Canis lupus familiaris: one gene and its partners. The protein of the gene in region 1 interacts with the protein of each later gene in a biochemical or structural test. Links are inferred from orthologs where the notes say so. Each region holds a gene or a part of one and is shown in the gene's direction. Other genes may lie near its edges.

Region 1 (6,693 bases):
GGCTAGCAGTAGATATGAATGTGCTGTCATTCAGCGCATAAAAGGAAAGATGATATGCTACACTGACATGCATTCCAGTTTCCTTTTTCAATGGTGGTACTAAATTTTTCTTAACAAATCCTCTCTTATTCAGATCCTATTTTTATTTATTTATTTTTTCAGGTCCTATTTTTAAGTGCATGCTTATTAGTTGGTTGACTAGAGTTTGAGTTTTATGTACTTAATTATTCCACACAGGAATTAAATCCATATAGCCAACCAACTGTCATGCAGTTGGTTAAAGTGTTAAGATAATTAGCTAAAAGTAAGTAAAATGATTTAATTTTTTGGATGATTGCTTTAAAATGCACGGTTTATCATTGTTTTTTCTCAACACTGTTCAGAAAAGTGAATTACTTTTTATGCTTATTTCTAATCCTTTAAGAATGCATTGATTGCTTTTCTTGAAGGTAATTTTGCAAATACAAAATTATTTTAACTAATCATTTCTCTGAACAAAGAAAATGATACTTAAGTATAAAAATTAAAAACAGAATTCTTATATAAGCACAGTACAAATCTGAGTCTCTTTTGCTCCCTTGAGTTAGAAATAGCTATTTTCTATAAGCCTTTTAATTTTTTACTTTGCCATCTGTTAAGAGTCACTAGCTTCTGCCTGTTGCATATGCTGAGATTGAGCCACAGGTACTAAGAGCTTCTGTACCTCCTCATAGGCTCCAGCAGCTGCTGTGCCTGCTGCGGTTCCAGGAGTGGCACCCGTTCCTTCAGGGGTCTTCACGGACGTTCCAATCAGCAACATTCGTCGGGTAGGAATATTATCCTAAATATTTAGCTGCAGCCAAAGCTGTAGGGGGCATTTTTGCTCTGATTGTTCAGTTGCATCCACAGTTTGAAACACTACCAGAGACTTTTTATTTGGGATATTTGGATGATTGGTTGTAGATGTTTGGCTTGGCCAAATAAATACTTGGGATAAACAAACATTGCTCTGATAGATACTACTAGACGGAGTCCAGGTTTTGGTGCATATTCCAATTCCATATTCTAGTTCTGGTAATGTTTGAGGTAGCCATTACCAGGGAACAGGGTAAAGAGGCAAACAGAGCCCTGCATTAGGTAAAATCTCACCTCAGCTTAAGATAAGTGATGTTTTAATCTCTTTGATTTCAGGTTATTGCACAGAGATTAATGCAGTCTAAGCAAACCATACCTCATTATTACCTTTCCATTGATGTAAATATGGGAGAAGTTTTGTTGGTACGGAAAGAACTTAATAAGGTAAGAGGTTTGGAAATTCCAACTCTGAAATTCTAAAATTCTTGTTTTTCCCCACTAAACATTTACATTTTTACCTATATTTTTTGTGACAGTATGTTGATGATGGAAAATGGTGTCCTCTTACTAAATTTATTTATTTATTTTAAAGAGTGGGAGACTGGTGGGTGGGGAGGGGCCAAGGGAAAGGGAGAGAGAATCTCAAGCAGGCTCCACACCCAGAGCGGAGCCTGACTCAGAGCTGGATCTTACAACTCTGAGATCATGACCTGAGCCAAAATCAAGAGCCAGACTCTTGACTGAGCCACCCAGGCATCCCAGTTGTCTTCTTAATTTTAACTTGCTGAGAGAATATCTTGGAGAATTTTTGTTTTCTAACCCTTGATTAAAATTTCTCATTTAAAGTTGATTTTGCGGGATCCCTGGGTGGCGCAGCGGTTTGGCGCCTGCCTTTGGCCCAGGGCGCGATCCTGGAGACCCGGGATCGAATCCCACGTCAGGCTCCCGGTGCATGGAGCCTGCTTCTCCCTCTGCCTATGTCTCTGCCTCTCTCTCTCTCTCTCTCTATGTGACTATCATAAATAAATAAAATTAAAAAAAATTTAAAAAAAAGATTAAAAAAAAAAAATAAAGTTGATTTTGCCACGGATCCATTTTAGCCTAGCACAATCACTATGATTCTATGAGGCTAGATAAGAAACAGTATGTTTACTCTGTTTACAGTTAAGTACCAACTACCTACTTATGCTTAGCATGAGGCACTTTTAGGAATACAGCATAAGTCATAGTCCTCCATGAGCTTAAGTTTTTAATCTAATGGAGATAATGCATGTGAAAAACAGAAGAGGCAATTTTTATTAAAGTAAAAATACCCGTTGGTAGGTCAATTTCTTTATGGTAATGCCCCTTGACTGCTAAATTACACTGTATAGGTTAAGTGTTCTAGGAATTCAGAGAAGGAGGACACCAATAAAAGTAGTTGGGGAATTCACAGTGGTGTGGGAAAAACTTGATTAAGCTATGGAGAACAGGAAGGGTTTGCATTGGCAAAGAAGTTGAAGATAGTTCATTATACTGATGGAATATCATAAAGGCAAAATGCTTTTTAAAAAGGACGTAAGTGGGCAGCCCCAGTGGCTCAGCGGTTTAGCGCCTGCCTTCAGCCCAGGGCACGATCCTGGAGTTCCAGGATCGAGTCCCACATTGGGCTCCCTGCATGGAGCCTGCTTCTCCCTCTGCCTGTGTCTCTCATGAATAAATAAATAAAATCTTTAAAAAAAAAAAAAAATTGCATAGGAGGGACACCTGGGTGGCTCAGTGGTTGTCTGCCTTTGGCTCAGGGCGTGGTCCTGGGTTCCCAAAACAAGTCCCGAATCGGGCTTCCTGCAGGGAGCCTGTTTCTCCCTCTGCCTGTGTTTCTACCTCTCTCTCTCTCTCTCTGTGTGTCTCATGAATTTAAAAAAAAAAAAAAAAAAAAAAAAAATCTTAAAAAAAAAAAGAATTGAGTAGGAGGAGATATGAAAACTGTTTTCAAAGAAGTGAAAAGTAAAAGCCAGTGGCACTCAGCATTATACAGGTTATCTATAACCTCTCTGACCTCCTGCTTTTCCACTCCACTCCTTGCTCATTCTGCTCGAAAAAAATTGTCTTCCTGTTCCTCGACACTCTGCCTGTATACTCCTACTTTAGTCCCTTTGCACGTACTGTTCCCTCTGCATGGAATATTCTTCCCCTAGCATCCACCTGGTTTCTTCCTTTACCACCTTAAGGATTTGACTCAGTATCACCTTCTCTCATCTTCCCTGGTTACCTTATTCTAAAATTAAGGGAAGAGGAATGGGGTGAGTAATCAGTTTTCCCATTAGTTCTTTTCCTCTGTTTTTTTCTCTTTAACATTATCTTACATATTATATATTTCATTTATTTATTATCTGTCTACTCCTTTAGAATGTAAGATCCCTAAGAGTAGAATTTTTACCCATTTTTTTCCACTGCTTTATATCCAGGGATTTTTAGAACAGAGTACTCAAATATTAGATGCATGAATGAATAAAGCAAGAAGCATTAACAGGTAGTAACTGGCTATATGGCTTAAAGATGATTGCATGCTTTTACTAGCAAAATGGTAAAGCTATTTTATAATCTATTTGAAAATTAGACATGAAAAGTATGCATCCAGTGTATTATTTTATTCTTTTTAACAGTTTTATTTAGGTACATTTCACATATACCATTCAGCCACTTAAAGTTTACAATTCAGTGGCTTTTAGTATATCCTGAGTTCTATGACCATCACAATGGATTCTGGAACATTTTCATCACCCCAAAATGAAATCATTCTCCCATTACCTTAGCCCCCACTCCAATCCTCCCATCTTCCCCAACCCTAGATAATCACTACCTACTTTTTGTCTTAGATCTGCTTGTTTTGGGTATTTCCTGTAGGAATAGGGATTTCATTGAATCTGTAAATAATTTGGGGAGTATTGTCTTCTTAGTACTGTTCCTACTCCATGACCATGGAGTGTCTTTCCATTTATTTAGGTCTTCTTTCACTTCTTTCAATAATTTGTACAGTTTTTCAAGTATAAGTTTTTGTACTTCTTTTGTTAAATTTATTCCTAGATATTTTATTCTTTTTAATACTATTATAAATTTCATTTTCAGAGTGTTTATTGCTATTATAGAGCAATACTGTTGATTTTTGTGTATTGCTCTTGTATCCTAAAACCTTGTTTTTTATTTAGTGTTAAGATTTTCTTTTTTTTTTTTTCTTTAAGATTTTCTATATGCAAAATCATTCGTCTCCAAATAGAGATAATTTTGCTTTTTCCTTTCCAATTTGGATGTCATTTATTTCCTTTTCTCACCCAACTTCTTCAGCTAGCACATCTAGTAAAATGTTGACTGGAAGTTGTCTTGTTCTTGATCGTAAGAGGAAGTAAGTCTTTCACTAAAGTACAATGATGATGGTTGTGGGACTTTTGTAGATCTGTTTTATCATGAGATGTGGGAAGTTCCTTTCAATTCCTAGTTTGTTTGTTTTTTTTTTTTTTTTTCAATTCCTAGTTTTTATGAAGTGGTAGTTGAATTTGCTCAAAAGCTTTTTCTGTGTCTATTGAGATGGTCATGTGATTTTTGTCCTATATTCTGACATTATTACATTAATTGATCTTCAGATGTTAACCAACCTTGCATTTCTGGGACAAATTCCATTTGGCTGTGGTGAATAATCCTTTTCATATATTGCTGGATTTGGTTTGCTAGAATTTTTTTGAGGGTTTTTGGATCTGTATTCCTAGGTATTTGAGTTTTATTTTTTCTGGGTTTTGTTTTTTGTGTGTGTGTTTTTTTTTTTTTTTTTACTGTGATATCTTGGTCTGGTTTTGGTATTGGGTTAATACTGGTGTGTCAGAATGAGTGGAGAAGTGCTCCTTCTTTTGTGTTTTGGAAGATTTTGTGAAGAATTGATATTCTTCAGATGTTTAGCAGAATTCACCATTTGGGGAAGTCATCTGGGTCTAAGTTGTTCTGTGTGGGTATTTTTAAAATTATTCAGTCTCTATTACTAGTTACAGATCAATTCAGAGGTTTTATTCCTTTTTGATTCAGTTTTGGCAGCTTGTATCTTTCTAGGAATTTTCCATTTCATCTAAATTATCTAATTTGTGGGATAATTGTTATAGCATTACCTTACAATTTATTTGGTAGGTTATGTAGTAACGTCCCACATCATTTCTGATTAGAAATATGAGTCTTCTTTTTTCTTTGTCAGTCTAGCTGAACATTTATCATTTTGTTGATCTTTTCACGGAACCAACTTTTGGTTTTGTTCAGATAAGTGAAAATGAAGGCATAACATACCATAACTTAAGGGATACTGCTAAAGCAGGACTTAGTAGGAGGCTTATAGCTACAGACCTACATTAAAGACCTACAAAAAGGCCTACATTAAAAAGATGAAAAAACCAACTTTTAATTTCATTTCATCCTTTATACCTCAGGACATTTGTATTCTCCCCCCCCCCCCCCCCCAAGTCCCTGCCAGAGGTTATGTTTCAGTGTTTGGGAAGAGAGTTTAAGAAACTACGATGGTTTCTTGTCTTTGCAGATGTTAGAAGGGAGAAGCAAAATTTCTGTCAATGACTTCATCATAAAAGCTTCAGCTTTGGCATGTTTAAAAGTTCCTGAAGCAAATTCCTCTTGGCTGGACACAGTTATAAGACAGTAAGTAAGATACTGCTGGTCAAGGTATATGTATCCACCAGCAGATTTCTTGTGCTATCTCACATGTAACTAGGAATATAGGGGATAAGGAGAAATGGAATACAGGGAGGGAGATGACTTCCATAGGCAAAACAGTTTGAAAACAATGTAAAACTATTTATAAGATAAGGCTAAATTTAGTTAGTGAAGACTACAAATTCTACGAGTTTAGAGAGGCAGATAAGTTTACAGATGTGAATAATTAAGTTGATAACTGTTATAAAGCAGGGTTGAAATGATTTTTGCTCACCAATTAGTTCTGCTGAATTCTAATGGGAGCAAATTGAAAACAAAACCAAGAAGCATATTTGTTAATATTATGGTGGCATTGTGAGTGGCATGGTGCTCAGTGTCTTCCCATGTCTCATTTTAATCCTTAGGACCACCTTATGAACTAGGGCTTTCACTTCTATTTTACAGGTGAAGAAACTGAGGGTTCAATGAGTTAAATAACTTTGCTTGAATTAATATGTTATAGTAAGTAGCAAAACTGTGATTGGAATCAAGATTCTGACTTCTGCACCTAGGTTTCTTCTACTATGTAGATTTTTTTATATTATATAAAATAATAGTATATACATTAGAATATTGCTTTGTGGCTTACAGTGACCTATTTAACTTTTATTTATTTTTTTTTTTTAATTTTTATTTATTTATGATAGTCACACACACAGAGAGAGAGAGAGAGAGAGAGAGAGGCAGGGACATAGGCAGAGGGAGAAGCAGGCTCCATGCACCGGGAGCCCGACGTGGGATTCGATCCCGGGTCTCCAGAATCGCGCCCTGGGCCAAAGGCAGGCGCCAAACCGCTGCGCCACCCAGGGATCCCCTATTTAACTTTTAATCTGTGGTCTACTCTCAAGAGGCAAATACGACTTTTTTTTTTTTTTTTTTTTTAAGATTTTATTTTTAGAGAGACAGCATGAGCAGGGGCAGAGCATGAGAGGGAGAGGAAGAGAATCCTAAGCAGGCTCCATGCTCAGCAGGGATCCTGACATGGGGCTTGATCTCTCAACCCTGAGATCATGACCTGAGCGGAAATGAAGAGTCAGATGCCTAATCGACTGAGCCACCCAGGCACCTCTATCTTCATATTATTAAATAACATTTTCCTGTTTCCTTTTATGGATTTTTCATTTTATCAGCTGATTT
Region 2 (7,179 bases), on another chromosome or scaffold:
TTTATGCTTGGATAAGAACAGTCTCTCCTCCCCACCCTCCCAGTATAAGTAGTTGTTTCCAGGACTGGTGTTACACTGTTATGAAAGAAACATAATGGCAGAGATGCAGCAATACCCACTTATATAAAAGGGTCCTCAATAATGTCAAGCTTCTAGAGCTCCTTGGAGCTGTAGGACCTCCAAACTGTTCCCAAAGAAGGTCTTGGCTTTTGTGTCACTAAAAGGACCCATAAGGTGATTCTCCCCCTCTAGACACAGAGCTGGAATGCACTTCCTGGGCCCTCCTAGTTGGGTAAGGTCATGTGACTAAATTCTAGCCAATGAGTTGTGAGCAGGAGAGAAGTGGCTTAATTCTGGGCTCATACTGTTAATTGCTGGGTGGGAGTCTCCCAGTTTTGTTTTCTCCCTTCTGCCGCTGTAGAACCCTGCCTTGAGATAAAACGTCTGCCAATCTGAGTCCTTTTTTTTTTTCCCCCAATCTGAGTCCTTGAGAGCAACCCCCAACATTCCTTGTACATGTAGTGGGAAATTAGGCCATGGTGGGGTGTGGGATGGGAGGTTGGTGGGAGTTTAACCTCAGCATCTTCTAACCTAGCTTGACCACCCCATACCACTCCCATTATCACCCTGCAGCAATCTCTGCAGAAGGAATTTTGATCCAAGCAGAGGCCACAATATAAAGGTCCAGCACTAAGGAGAGGATCAGAAGAAATCTCTCTCTCTCCTCTACCTTGCCTCAGAGTTTGCTGCCTTTTCCTCGTTACTTAACAATTTTTAAGATTAATTTTTAAAATTTATTTATTCATGAGATACACAGAGAGAGGGAGAGACACAGGCAGAGGGAGAAGCAGGCTCCATGCAGGGAGCTCAATGTGAGACTCGATCCCAGGATCATGACCCGATCCAAAGACAGATGCTCAACCGCTGAGCCACCCAGGCGTCCCATATTTATTTATCTTTTTATTTATTTATTTGAGAGAGAGACAGAGAGAGAGGGAGAGAGAGCATGCACACGGAGAAGGGCAGAGGGAGAAAATCCTCAAGCAGATACCTTTATGAGCTCAACATGGGGCTCAATCTCATGACCCTGAGAACATGACCTGAGATAAAACCAGGAGTCCAATGCTCAACCGACTGAGCCACTCAGGTGCCCCTCCTTGCTTAAATTTGGACAACAGTAATAGCTGTTATTGATTATTTACTATGTGCCAGGTACAGGACTGGGCTTTTTACACGCAAGCATCCTGTATGCTCCTCTGGGCAACTTGAAGACTGACTCACCAACATAGTGCATGATTTAATTGCTTGCTGGAAGGATATTCGGTGGTCCTCCCTGATAACTCTGTGGCATGCCTCCCTGGTGGTCCCAATTCTTTATTCATGCTCTTTTCCCTTCTATGTGCCTGGTGCTGGAGATAGAGCAGTGAATTACACAGACACAGACAGCCCTGCCCTCCTGGAGTTTAAAGTCTAGTGGAGGAGACAGATGAGTCAGCAAACGATTTCCAGATTTCCAGATTTGATAAGAGCCAAATGGTGTTAAGTTTGGGGAGGTCTGGGACACCTGGGTGGCTCAGTGGTTGAGCGTCTGCCTTTGGCTCAAGGAGTGATCCTGGGATCCGGGATCCGGCTCCTTGCATGGAGCCTCCTTCTCCTTCTGCCTGATCTCTCTCTCTCTCTCTTTCTCTCTCTCTCTCCTTCTGTGTCTCATGAATAAATAAATAAAATCTTTAAAGAAAAGTTTGGGGAGGTCTAAGAAGCCTTTAGAGGGAGCCCATAACCCAGCCTGGCAGGGTCAGAGCCTTGAAGAATGGATAGGCAGTGAGGAGAAAGAATTATCCAGACAGAAGAGACAGCATTTGCAACGGTTTGGAGCCTGGAGGTTGCTCAAGGCGGTAGATAAGTATGGCTGGGAGTCAAGCAGGGCGACGTGGAGAGAGGAGGCTGGAGACTTAAGCCAAAGCAGATCGTGCAAGAGCTGGAAAGCCTCCAGTAAGAGAGCCCCTGAAAAAGTCTGTAAACAAGTTCAGATTTGCTTTTGAGAATGATCCCTGAGCCTCAGTTTCCTCATCTATATAATGGGGATAATAAAGCACAAGAGAGACACCTGGAGAATTAAAGGAGCTAATGTATGCAAACAGTGCCTGGTACGCAGGCTATTATTCAGTTAAGAGTCCCTTCCGTGGCAAAGCCTTGGGCACAGCTGGTGTTGACCGTAATCACATTCTGTTACACAGTAACGACCTATTTACTTAGGCCGCTACCTCCCAAACTGAGAAAACAAATGGCTGAGGGAAAAAACTACTTCCTTATCCTTTGTGGTTTTCCTGTTCTCAGCACAAAGCCCAGCACATATCGGGCACTTGGTCGGTGCGGCCCAGGGAGCGAACAGTGAAGAAGGGGGGACATCAAAGGGAAAGGCGGGGGTCAGCACGTACCACGTTCCACCGCAAGAACTCGCGCTCCTTTCCTGCGAGAGAGCCGGAGAGCGCAGGACGCTGGCGCAGGAATGGCTCCCAGGTCCCCCGCGCAGATCACCTGCCAGGACCTCTCTCTAAGGAACCCCAGTGCGAAGATGGTCGCTTTCTAAGGTCAAATGATTAGAGAATAATTAAAGTGTTGAGAACTGCACTCCCAGCGCCGATGTTAAGGGTGCCCCCGCCGCCGCCAGGCCTGCGTTGGGGTTTCCACTCTGGGCGCCGTGTTTTCCGGAGCCGCTTGGATCTTTGTGGAAGTGCTGGGGTGCTTGTCTACACGGAGGGTTAGCACGGGCGTGCATCCTGACCCCGAAGTTTGCAAACTTTCCCAGTCTGGATGACAGTGACCCGTCCCCCCAGGGAGCGCAAGCGGGGAAGAGCAGCTGGAACAGGTCCCTTCGGGAGGGAAGGGATTCGTTGAAAGCTGCCCAGACGATCGCAGGGAAGGCGAGTCCCGGAGATTTGGGGGCGGGGGGCGCGGGAGAGGCCGGGGACAGGCAGGAACGACCGACGTCGGCGGAGCCTGGGGTGGAGCGGGGCTCGGCCGGGAGGGGGCACGGGCGGAGCGAGCGCGCGGGAGGCGGACTCTCCGCGCGGCCTCCCGAAAACAACAGGCCGCCCGGGCGAGGACGGGGTTAAGGGGGCGGGCCCAGGGGAGCCACGTGCCGGGGCGAGAGGCGATTGGCTCGGCCCGGGTTGTTTGTGAGCGCCCATTGGCGCCGCCGGGGCGCCGCGGCAAGCCGATTGGCCGGGGCGGGGAGGACCGCCCGGGCCGGGGCGGGGAGGAGGCGGCGGGTCCCGTGTGCCGGCCGGGCTGGGCCGAGCCGAGCCAAGCGGCCGCGCCGCTCGCGGTGGGGACCGGACCCCGAGCCGGAGCCCGAGCCGGAGCCCGAGCCGCGGCCGCCGCCGCCGCCGCCGCCGCCGCCATGCGCTGGGTCCGCGCGCTGCTGAAGAACGCGTCCCTCGCAGGGGCGCCCAAGTACATCGAGCACTTCAGCAAGTTCTCCCCGTCCCCGCTGTCCATAAAGCAGTTTCTGGACTTCGGTAGGGAGTGGGCGGGGGGTGGGGTGGGGTGGGGTGGGGTGGCGGCTGGACTTGGGGGCCAGCGGGGCGCGGGGGGGGCGGTGAGTGAGGGAGACCCTGGTCTTGAAGGATCAACGCGGAGAAGAGAGGCCCTGCGTGACTGGGAAGGGTTGCTGGGAGGGGTCCAGGCAGGGAAGGGTTAAGGCGTGGGGTGGGGCAGGGGCCGGCCCTGAAAGGGTTAAGGTACCCTGGGGGAGAGCTCTCTACCGGGCTGTCAGTGGGAAGTGGGGGCACTGAGAAGGAGGGGTCCCAGTGTCTTGCTGGACTGTGCAGAGGTCTTGCAGAGTAAGGGACAGTCAGGCAAGGTGGTGATGTTAGGGCCAGAAGGGAGTGGGGTATATCCAGACAAAAAGGGTTAATGGTGGTTGTCCTAGTGACTCAAAGAGTCTGGAGATGGAGAGGAAATGGGGTGGGGATGCTGGTGGGAGTAACAAGGCAAGATTAGTAGATGCAGACATCTGGAAGGAGATCTGGGCTGGGCTGGGCACCCCGGGGTCAGGTGGGGACCCCGCTCTTTCAGAAAATGTCAGCAGGAAGGAGGTCGATGATCAGTATACCTCCACCCCCTGAAGGAGCGGGCCCCGAGCTGTCCCAGTAGGCAAGGACACTTGAAGAGCAAATCTGTTTGGGCCTGGCTTCCTGTCCCCAACAGGGCGCAGGCCTGGAGCACCATGAGGTGGAGTCAGGAGGCTGGCAGCCTTGGCTGCCCCTAGCTTCCTGGGCCAGGATCACCCACCAGCAACGCTCTGGGGGGGCCTCTGGAGCAGAAGCAAGGCTGTGCCAATGTAGCCACTGAAACAGGCATTGTGTGGGCCCTGTCTGTCTACGCGGTATTTCCACGGTGCCAGCTGGGGATTAGGAGGGGGTGCCCAGGTCTCTTAGGAGTTGAAGAGACAGTGCCTGGCTCAAGTTACAGCTGCGTCACTGATGGGAGGGGGGTGGGGAAGTGACAGTAGGACAGAGGGCCCCTGTTCCCCAGGACTTGTCTGCCTGTCCCCCTGCCCTACTTGAGCTATTCCAGAGTAGGAAAGCCCCCAGGGCCCATTCCTAGCCACCAGTAGTTGTCCGGTTTAAACTGGACCCTGCTTATATAAATGGGCCAGGTGGGGTTCACAGTAGCGTTTGGTCCACTTGTAGTACAGTGGGGGAAAGAGATCTTCAGAAGGGTAGTCACATGCCCTAGGTGGCAGGCTCAGAAGCAGAACTTAGACTAGCATCTAGGTCTTCTGACTCTAGGCCATGGCCTCAGTCTACCACCCCATCTTCATCTTGAAGCCAGACCAAGGACCAAGGTACTTGGGTTCTCATTCTTGGGCCCTGTGTGCCTCACACATGAGCATTAACATAAGGACAACTCTACAGTGGTCATCAAGACCAGCCTGGGTAAAGATGGACTGGGCCAGAAATGACACTGGGTCCCTGTAGCTGCTGTGGTCGAGGCATAGCATCCCTTAGGCAGGCCCAGACCTGGGAAAGGATGGTTTTCCCAGGCTCCTCTGCCCACCCGGATCCACCTCTCCCCTTCCACTCCACAAAGCAAGTATTTGCTAAGAGAGACAGAAAGTGAAGAAGTGAGGTAACTGAGGCCAGAGGTGGCTCCAGGTAGGCCTGGAAGTGGCCCTATCCCCTGCGGTTGAAGGCCAGCAGGGGGTAGGGGAGGGGACACAAGGCCAGGCCTGATTAGGCAGGGTGGTGTGGAGGTGGGAGCACTACAGGGGATTAGGAGAGCTGCCTGGCTCTGTGCCCTGATCACTTCTCTGAACCCTCAGGAAATGAAAGATTTAATTGTCCTGATCCCTGAGATGACCTCTGGCTCCAGTGGTTTGCAGCTCTGTTGGCTCACTTCTCTCTCTCCCTCCAGGGTCCAGCAATGCCTGTGAGAAAACTTCATTCACCTTCCTCAGGCAGGAGCTGCCTGTGCGCCTGGCCAACATCATGAAGGAGATCAACCTGCTTCCCGACCGAGTGCTGAGCACACCCTCGGTGCAGCTGGTCCAAAGCTGGTGAGACCCCTGGCCAGGTCCCTGCACCTCCTTTCATTCTACTGCTAGATGCTGCTAGGCTCCCAGAATCTCTGTGCTCCTGGCAGCCTTGAGGGAGGTGGGCACAGAGGGGAGTCACAGGGGCTCTAAAAGGCTGAAGAGTTGCCCAAGGCCAAGTGGAATGCTAAGCCAGAGCAGGGCCTGAGATAAAGTTCCTAGCCTCCATGCCTGTGGGCTAGCCCTATACTTACCAGTCTTCTTTCTCTAGAAACCCAGGATCCCAACCAAAACAAGGCAACATTGTAGACAAACAGAAACAGGGAGAAATGAATTTTCAAATTATATGATCCAAGCTACCAGTCATGTTGGAAAACAGACACAAAGATGGCACAGTACCTGCCCCCGAGAACTTTGGAGGGGCAAAGACCAAAAATCACAGCAGTAGCAGCAGAAAATCCTCTGTAAAGGTCACTCTAGAACTCTGTCCCAGGTTAGGTAACTAGATGACATTAACCAACGGCTGGTCACATGAAGAACAAAGAGGAGTTTGCTGTGTGACTGGCATGCAAATGGTTAATCTGGTTGGCCTTTGGTGGCACCTGTGCAGAAACCCTTTGCTAGTTCTTCTGGCAATGGTGTGGTATAACTATGGTTCCCTATGGATTCAGGAGCAGGGGCCTACACCTGCCATGAGCCAGCTCCACGCTGGGAACAGTAAAGCAGTAGCAGTGGCTACCCTCGGGGAGCCTGTGATCTTGTGGGGAGCAGAAGGGTGGGTAAACTGAGAGCCCAGGATGGTGGATGGTGGTAGGAGCAGTGAGCTGCTAAAGAGCTACTTTTACTTAAGAGTCAAACTAGTATTTAAAAGTAACAAAATTGGGGTTCTTTTCCTCCTCACTGTGGAAGTGTAACATGTCCCCTTTGATACTTGGAAAACATAGGAAAACGGAAGAGAATGCCAACCACTGCCTTCCACCCCATGACCAAACACTTAGAGTTTGGTAAGATTTTATTGGTGCCCTTCCAGCGTTGTTTCTATGGATGAATATGCATATGCAGGACTTACTCTGACTTAATGAGACACGGTAAGAAAAGTGTTTTGTGCGGGAGGCCAGGCACATAATAGGCGCACAGTGAATGTTAGTTGAATCGGAGAGTTGTAGGGAAGTTGGAATGGATGCATGGAGGAGGTGGCATGTCTCTGGGCCTTACAGGGTGCCTGAGTGAGCCTAGACCTAGAAGGAAAGGATGGGCATTCCAGGCCTTGGAACTGCTTGTGCCAGGGTGTGGAGGCAGGTAAGGGCCCAGTGAGGGCCTCCACAACCTCACTCTGTGCCTGTAGCGATTTCGGTGCGAGCTGTGAAGGGGATGGGGTAGTGGGCAGGGCCTGGCATTCCTATAGCTCAACCAGGTCACCCCCCGCTGGGCTCTGGCCCTCAGAAGTCCAGGACATCTGAGCCAACCAGCATTTCCCACTGCAGGGTGGTAGGGAAGTCACGGGGAGGAGACAGAAGGTGCCATCTGTTTGCCCACTCCTCCTCCAGCTCTGCTTGGCTGACTGGCCTGGCTGCCTCTCCAGCGGGCCCCTGACTCCAGGACAGGCCCTCTCGGGCCCCTCCCTGGACGCTGTGTTCCTA
Region 3 (7,297 bases), on another chromosome or scaffold:
GATGGCCAAAAAGCACATGAAAAGATGATCAATATCACTAATCATTAGGGAAATGCAAATAAAAACAAAGATGAGATACCACTTTACACATATTAGGATGGCTATTAGCAATTAAGCAGAAAATAGTAAATGTTGGTGAGAATGTGGAGAAAGTGGAAACCTTGTGCATTACTGGCGGGAATATAAACTGGTATATCTGCAATGGAAAAGAGAATGGTTATTCCTCAAAAAAATTAATCCAGAATTAACATGATCCAGCAATGCCACTTCTAGGTTATACCCCAAAGAATTAAAAGTAGGGGCTCAAATAGGTATTTGTGAACTAATGTTCATAGCAGCATTATTCACAAATCTAAACATTGAAAACAACCAAGAGGTCCATCAACAGAAAAATGGATAAACAAAATGGGATATATGCATACAATGGACTATTACTTAACCTTAGAAAGGAATGAAATTCTTTTTTTTTTTTTAAGATTGTATTTATTTATTCATGAGAGACACAGAGAGAGAGAGAGAGAGAGAGAGAGAGAGAGAGGCAGAGACACAGGCAGAGGGAGAAGCAGGCTCCACGCAGGGAGCCTGATATGGGACTCAATACCCGGGTCTCCAGGATCACACCCTGGGCTGAAGGTAGCATTAAACCGCTGAGCCACCGGGGCTGCCCAGGAATGAAATTCTGATACATGCTACAATATGGATGATCCTCCAAGACATTACAATAACTGAAACAAGCTAGTCACACTCACTCACACACACAAATACTGTATGATTTCACTTACATGAGGTAGAGCAGTCCAATTTATACAGATGGAATGGTCATTGCCAGGGCTTAGCGGAAGGCGGAAATGGAGAGTTACTGTTTAATGAATAGTTTCCTTTTGGGAAAATGAAAAGGTTCAGGAGGGGTACCTAGCTGTAGAGCCACCTGTAGAGCGTGCAACTTACGATCTCAGGATCATGCCTGATCCTTATCCTAAATTCATGCCCCACACTGGGTGTAGAGATTATTTAAAAGTAAAAAGAAAAGAGAGAAAGTTCTGGAAATGGATAGTGGTGGTGATTGAACAACAATATGCACATATTAAATGCCAATGAACTATATGCTTAAAGTGGTAAATTTTATGTGATATATATTTTACCACAATAAAAACCAATCTAATTAGAATACGAACAAAAGAACAGACACTTCATCAAGGATGGATGGCAGAAAAGCATATGAAAAGATGTTTAATAATTAACCATTAGAGAAATGTAAATTAAAGTCATGAGGGACACTGCTACACATGTATTACAATGGCTAAAATAGAAAATATTGATAATATCACACACTGGCAAGCATTTAGTGCAACTGGATGTCTCATACTTTGCTGGAGGTCATGTAAAATGGTATAGCCACTCTGGGGCAGCCTGGGTGGCTCAGTGGTTTAGCGCCGCCTTCGGCCCAGGGTGTGATCCTGGAGACCCGGGATCAGTCCCATGTCGGGCTCCCTGCGTGGAGCCTGCTTCTCCCTCTGCCTGTGTCTCTGCCTCTCTGTGTCTCTCATGAACAAATAAAATCTTAAAAAAAAAAAATAGTATAGCCACCGTGGAAAAACACTCCAATATAATCATACTGCTCGGTATTTACCTGAAGAAATGAAAACTAATGTTTAAAAAGCCAGTGTTCATTGCAGGTTTATTGGTAATAGCTAAAACTGGATACAAACCAAATGTCCTTCAAGGAGTGAATGGATAAACATGCAACCACTTAGAGATATAAAGAAACGTTGATACACGCAACAACTGGAATGGATTTCAAGAGCATTAGGCTGAGTGGAAATAGCTAATCTCCAAGAGTTACATATTGTACGATTCTGTGTTGAAATATTCTTGAAATAACAAATTATAGTGATTGAGAACAGATTAGTGGTTGCCAGGAGTTAGGGGTGGAGGAGGTAACAATGAGGTAACAGGAGGGAGGTGCTTTGTGGGGATGGAACAATTCTGTATTCTGGCTGTGGTAGTAGTTATGTGAATCTGTACGTCTAATACAATTCTATAATACTACACTCCTCCTACCCCTGCCAGAATGCATATAAAAACTGATGAATGGGGGATCCCTGGGTGGCGCAGCGGTTTGGCGCCTGCCTTTGGCCCAGGGCGTGATCCTGGAGACCCGGGATCGAGTCCCACGTCGGGCTCCCTGCATGGAGCCTGCTTCTCCCTCTGCCTGTGTCTCTGCCCCTCTCTCTCTCTCTCTCTGTGACTATCATAAATAAATTTAAAAAAAAAAACTGATGAATGCTGTATAAAGTCTCTACCCGAGTTAAGAGCATTGCACCGTTATCAATTTGGGGGATTTGACAATGTACTATGGTCATCCAAGATATTGGGCAAAGATAGTTGAAGGTCACATGGATGCTCTTTGCACCAGTTTCACAATTTCTTGTGACACTTAAACTCTTTCAAAAGAAAAGAAAAGAAAAGAAAACTTAAAGAAAGAAAGGAGGGGTGCCTGGCTGGCTCAGAAGAGCATGGGACTCTTGATCCCAGGGTCATGAGTTTAAGCCCCAGGTTGGGCATAAAGAATATAAAAGAAAAAAAAAAAAAAAAGAAAAGGAATAAAGTATTGATACACTTAACGACATGGATGAATCACAAAAACATGTTGCTGAGCGAGACGCAAGAATGATAGAATTCCCTTTACGTCAAGTTCTAAAACAGGCAAATTAAGTTACGGTGATGGCGATCAGATCTGTGGTTGCCTGTGGGGTGATGTGTGGGGAACGATCGGGAGGAAACGTTGAGGGAACTTTCTGAGGTGGTGGGGGAATGTGCATTTTACTGTGGTCGAGGAAGCGAAAAGCTCTCTTTAACACATTTCGCTTGAAATGACCAACCAAAAAACAAAAAAAAAGATTGAAAATTCTGGATGAAGGACTTTCTGACGACTGACAACCCGAAGTGACTTGAGGAAAAGTGGAGGTAACAGTCATCACGCGGGAGGGTTCCTGTGAGAATTACAGGAGCTGGACAGCACTTACTACGATGCCCGGCACACAGTAGGCGCTTCATGCCTCGATGAACACTCCGGTTCGCATTCCAGGGAGCAACAGACGGACAGCACGGTCCGGCCCGGGGACCACCGGGCTCGTTCAGAGCGTGCGCAGGCGACACTTGGCGCCCTACGGGTTTCAGTGCCCGCAAAAGGCTGACCCAACTCTGAAGGTCCCCGCAGCCTCAACCTAACGTTCCTCAGAACCTGCCTTCCGGGCACCGCGCCTCAGGCAGCACCGCTTACAGACGCGTCCCGCCGCGCAGCGCGCACCGCAGCAGCCGCCCGCTCCCGGGAAGTTGATTGGCCCCGGCCCCAGAAACAGCGGTAGTACCGCCCCACGCGCCACCTAGGCCCCGCCCCTCGGCCCCTCACCCGGCAGCGGATGGGCGGGGCACGCAGGCGCCGCGCGCTGCCATTGGCCTGAGCTGGCGCGGGAGGCGGAGCCTGAGGCGACTGCGGTCCTGCGGTGTTGTCATTCGGCGGCGGCTGGAGGACACGGTCAAGATGGCGGCGGTGTCTGGCCTGATGCGGAGACCCCTGGAACAGGTAGGCAGCGGCATGCGTGCCTCCGCGTGGTCTCTGCCCGCCTTGCGCCCCCTCTCAGCGTCCTCTCTCTCTCTTTTCGCCAGGTGTCGGGGTTGCTGAGGAGGCGCTTCCACCGGACGGCGCCGGCGGCGCTGCAGGTAGGTGGCCTGGGCGCTAGCCCGAATCCCGGGAGGGACGCGCCTGCGCCGTGGGGACAGGGACGGCACGGGCCCTGAGGTCCACGGGTTCCCACATCCTGCGTGGGACTCCGAGTGCCTCTGTTGCGACCCAGCGCCGGACACACCAGCAAGTCGCCCCGGCCAGGCTCACTGGAATCTGTGGGCGATCTGAGGAAACTAGACCTCGCGCTTCCTCCCTCAACCGCCCCATTTACATTTTTCAAGTAGAATATACATAACCAGATTTACCATTTTAAAGTGTATATTCAGCGGCAGTACTTCCGTTTACTATGTTGTGAGACCATGACCACCATCGGTCTTCAGAACTTTATCACCATCACACACAGAAACTCTCCACCCCTTAAACACGAACGTCCCATTTCCCTCTTGCTCCCGGTAACCTCTTTGGCACTTTCTGTGCCTTTGAATTTATCTATTCTAGGTGTGTCCTGGAAATGGAATCCTGCAGTGTTTGTCCTTTTATATCCGGTTTATTTCACTTAACATATGTTTTCAAGGTTCATTCATGTTGTAGCATGTGTCAGAATTTCATTTCTTTGTTTAAGGTTGAATAATATTCCATCTTATGCATATATCACATCTTGTTCCTCCATTCTGTCTGTTGATGGACATGTGGGTGTTTTCACCTTTGGGATTTGTGAATAATGCTGCTAAGAACACTGGTGTGCAAGTATCTGAGTCCCTGCTTTTATTTCTTTTGATCATCTCTAGAAGTGGAATTGTTGGATCATATAGTAGTTCTGTGTTCAACTTGAGGAATTTCCTACCCCGTACCCCCTCCTTTTTTTCTTTTTTCTTTTTTTTAACTAGAGGACTCTCAATCTGTCTAGTAAAATAACTTGTAGATTCTGAAGGTAGTGTTTGGAAGTTCCCAGTACCTAGTGAGTGCTCAAAACATAGTTTTATTTAGGCTTTCTTAACAGTTTTCTGTCCCATACTACACTGACTGTGGAAATAAAACAACTGAATAGAATTTTTACTCAGGAAACTTGAGCTGGTCTGGCCAGCAAACAGCTTTTGTTAAGTTTAGGTGCACATTAAGAAAAGCATTCAGTATTTTCATTAACAAATTCAGCCAAAGACTGTGTATGAAAATGTTACTTTTAGAATTCTTTGAACTTTTTTTTTTTTTTTTAGAGATTTATTTGAGAGAGAGAGAGAAGGGGCACAAGCAGGGGGCAGAGATAGAGGGAAAGGGAGAAGCCGATTCCCTGCTGACCCTGCTGAGCAGAGAGCCCACTGCAGGGCTCAATCCCAGGATCCCGGGATCATGTCCTGAGCTGAATGCAGATGCTTAACCAACTGAGCCACCCAGGTGCCCTCCCCTCACCTTTTATTTTCATTTTTTTAAAGATTTTATTTATTTATTTGAGGGGGGGATTCTTTGAACTTTTAAAGAGAAGCCTGTCCTAGCGATAGTTTTCATACCGTATGCTGTAGGCAGCCTAGTAATTATAAAAGGAGAGAATCTCAGTAGTATCTGAAATAATCCTGTAGCTTATTGGCTGTTTTCCCCATACCTGTGACAGGTGACAGTTCGTGAGGCTATAAACCAAGGTATGGATGAAGAGCTGGAAAGAGATGAGAAGGTATTTCTCCTTGGGGAAGAAGTTGCCCAGTATGATGGTGCATATAAGGTAACCCAAGATATGTGAAAGCGATATAAATTGAGGTGGCTGTTTGCCCCCATATACACTTAAAAGTAATGAGATCATTGTGTAATTTTAGGTTAGTCGAGGCCTGTGGAAGAAATATGGCGATAAGAGAATCATAGATACTCCCATATCTGAGGTGAGCCTTCCATCAGGACGCAGACTTTTCAGGGGCATGTTAAAGTGTACACTGTTCTGATTTTTATGGATTTTCACTTGTGTTTGTGTTTTACTTCTAGATGGGCTTTGCTGGAATTGCTGTGGGTGCAGCTATGGTGTGTAATCCTCTTTATGAATCTCATCTAAAGAGATTTTTTTTTAATAATTAAAAAAATTTTTTTTGTATTTTTTATTGGAGTTTGATTTGCCAACATATAGTATAACACCCAGTGCTCATCCCGTCAAGTGCCCCCCTCAGTGCCCATCACCCAGTCACCCCATCCCCCCACCCACCTGCCCACCTCCCCTTCCACCACCCCTTGCTGGTTTCCCAGAGTTAGGAGTCTCTCATGTTCTGTCACCCTCTCTGATACTTCCCACTCATTTTCTCTCCTTTCCCCTTTAATCCTAAAGAGATTTCTTTTAACATGACCTTTTAAAAACATTGAAGTTTGGAGTGGTTGCCACTTTTTATTGCTTTTTAGTTTTTCTAAGATCTCTGTTTTTTATTTGACAGGCTGGGTTGAGGCCCATCTGTGAATTTATGACCTTCAATTTCTCTATGCAAGCCATTGACCAAGTTATAAATTCAGCTGCCAAGACCTACTACATGTCGGGGGGCCTTCAGCCTGTGCCTATAGTCTTCAGGGGGCCCAATGGTGCCTCAGCAGGTGTGGCTGCCCAACACTCACAGTGCTTTGCTGCCTGGTATGGGCACTGCCCAGGCTTAAAGGTGGTCAGCCCCTGGAATTCAGAGGATGCAAAAGGACTTATTAAATCAGCCATTCGGGATAATAATCCAGGTCAGTAGAGTGAGCCTTGGGTCTCTTTTGAACATTGAGGAACTAAGTTGAAATCTTTGCCTGGAAGGAAGCCGTTTAAGGGTTCTAGTTAGGCTTAGACATATAAAATGTTATGATTTACAGATACAGCAAAGACCATTAAAAAGGTGTTGTTTTTGCTTTTCTGACTATATGGGGCCTATTAGGTACCTACAACACCATTTTAACTACAATAGATAAAATTAGGACTGACCAGACTATAGATGCCAGTACCTAAACCATCCTCTCAGGGCTACTGGACACAATAGATAGGAGGCTTCCTAATCTGCACAGTGAAACTTTGCACAAAATGAATGATAGTTATGTATATACATTTGGTCATGTAGTTAGTTCTGTTAAACATTTGTATTTTGTAGTGGTGGTGCTAGAGAACGAACTGATGTATGGAGTTCCTTTTGAATTTCCCTCCGAAGCTCAGTCAAAAGATTTTCTGATTCCCATTGGAAAAGCCAAAATAGAAAGGCAAGGTAAGAGCACTTAGTACATGCTAAAGTATTTGTAATCTAGCTCCTGTATTTATGTTTGTCAAATTCTTTTTTTTTTTTTTTTTCCAAGAAGTGTGGGAGGGCCAGAGGGAGAGAGAATCTTAAGCAACCTCCATGCCCAGCAGGGAGCCCAACCCAGGCTCAGTCTTTTTTTTTTTTTTTTCCAGGCTCAGTCTTAACAATCTTCATGACCCGAGCTGAAATCAAAAGTCAGACACTTAAGTGAGCCACCCAGGCACCCTGGTCGAACGATTCATTCTTGAAGTTCCTGCCCTTTACTTTGGTTAGGAAATTATCAAGTTAAGAAATCCATCATGTTGGGGATCCCTGGGTGGCTCAGTGGTTTAGCGCCTGCCTTTGGCCCAGGGCGCGGTCCTGGAGTCCCGGGATCCAG

What was found. The genes of interacting proteins can lie anywhere in the genome.
Region 2: the proteins of DLAT (region 1) and PDK2 form a complex in vitro, tested with the Homo sapiens proteins (2 studies listed by BioGRID). The link is inferred for Canis lupus familiaris from reciprocal best matches to the Homo sapiens genes DLAT and PDK2.
Region 3: the proteins of DLAT (region 1) and PDHB form a complex in vitro, tested with the Homo sapiens proteins (2 studies listed by BioGRID and IntAct, with this or other methods). The link is inferred for Canis lupus familiaris from reciprocal best matches to the Homo sapiens genes DLAT and PDHB.

The regions. Positions count from the first base shown.
Region 1 is NC_049226.1:21,102,594-21,109,286, reverse strand, and holds part of DLAT (dihydrolipoyllysine-residue acetyltransferase component of pyruvate dehydrogenase complex, mitochondrial), read left to right. Parts: intron 1-713; coding exon 714-806; intron 807-1,170; coding exon 1,171-1,278; intron 1,279-5,386; coding exon 5,387-5,502; intron 5,503-6,693.
Region 2 is NC_049230.1:26,047,878-26,055,056, forward strand, and holds the start of PDK2 (pyruvate dehydrogenase kinase, isozyme 2), read left to right. Parts: upstream 1-3,363; 5' UTR 3,364-3,403; coding exon 3,404-3,521; intron 3,522-5,421; coding exon 5,422-5,563; intron 5,564-7,179. UniProt on the Homo sapiens protein: Kinase that plays a key role in the regulation of glucose and fatty acid metabolism and homeostasis via phosphorylation of the pyruvate dehydrogenase subunits PDHA1 and PDHA2.
Region 3 is NC_049241.1:32,434,794-32,442,090, forward strand, and holds the start of PDHB (pyruvate dehydrogenase E1 component subunit beta, mitochondrial), read left to right. Parts: upstream 1-3,481; 5' UTR 3,482-3,544; coding exon 3,545-3,586; intron 3,587-3,669; coding exon 3,670-3,723; intron 3,724-5,294; coding exon 5,295-5,402; intron 5,403-5,493; coding exon 5,494-5,556; intron 5,557-5,656; coding exon 5,657-5,692; intron 5,693-6,093; coding exon 6,094-6,379; intron 6,380-6,774; coding exon 6,775-6,885; intron 6,886-7,297. UniProt on the Homo sapiens protein: The pyruvate dehydrogenase complex catalyzes the overall conversion of pyruvate to acetyl-CoA and CO(2), and thereby links the glycolytic pathway to the tricarboxylic cycle.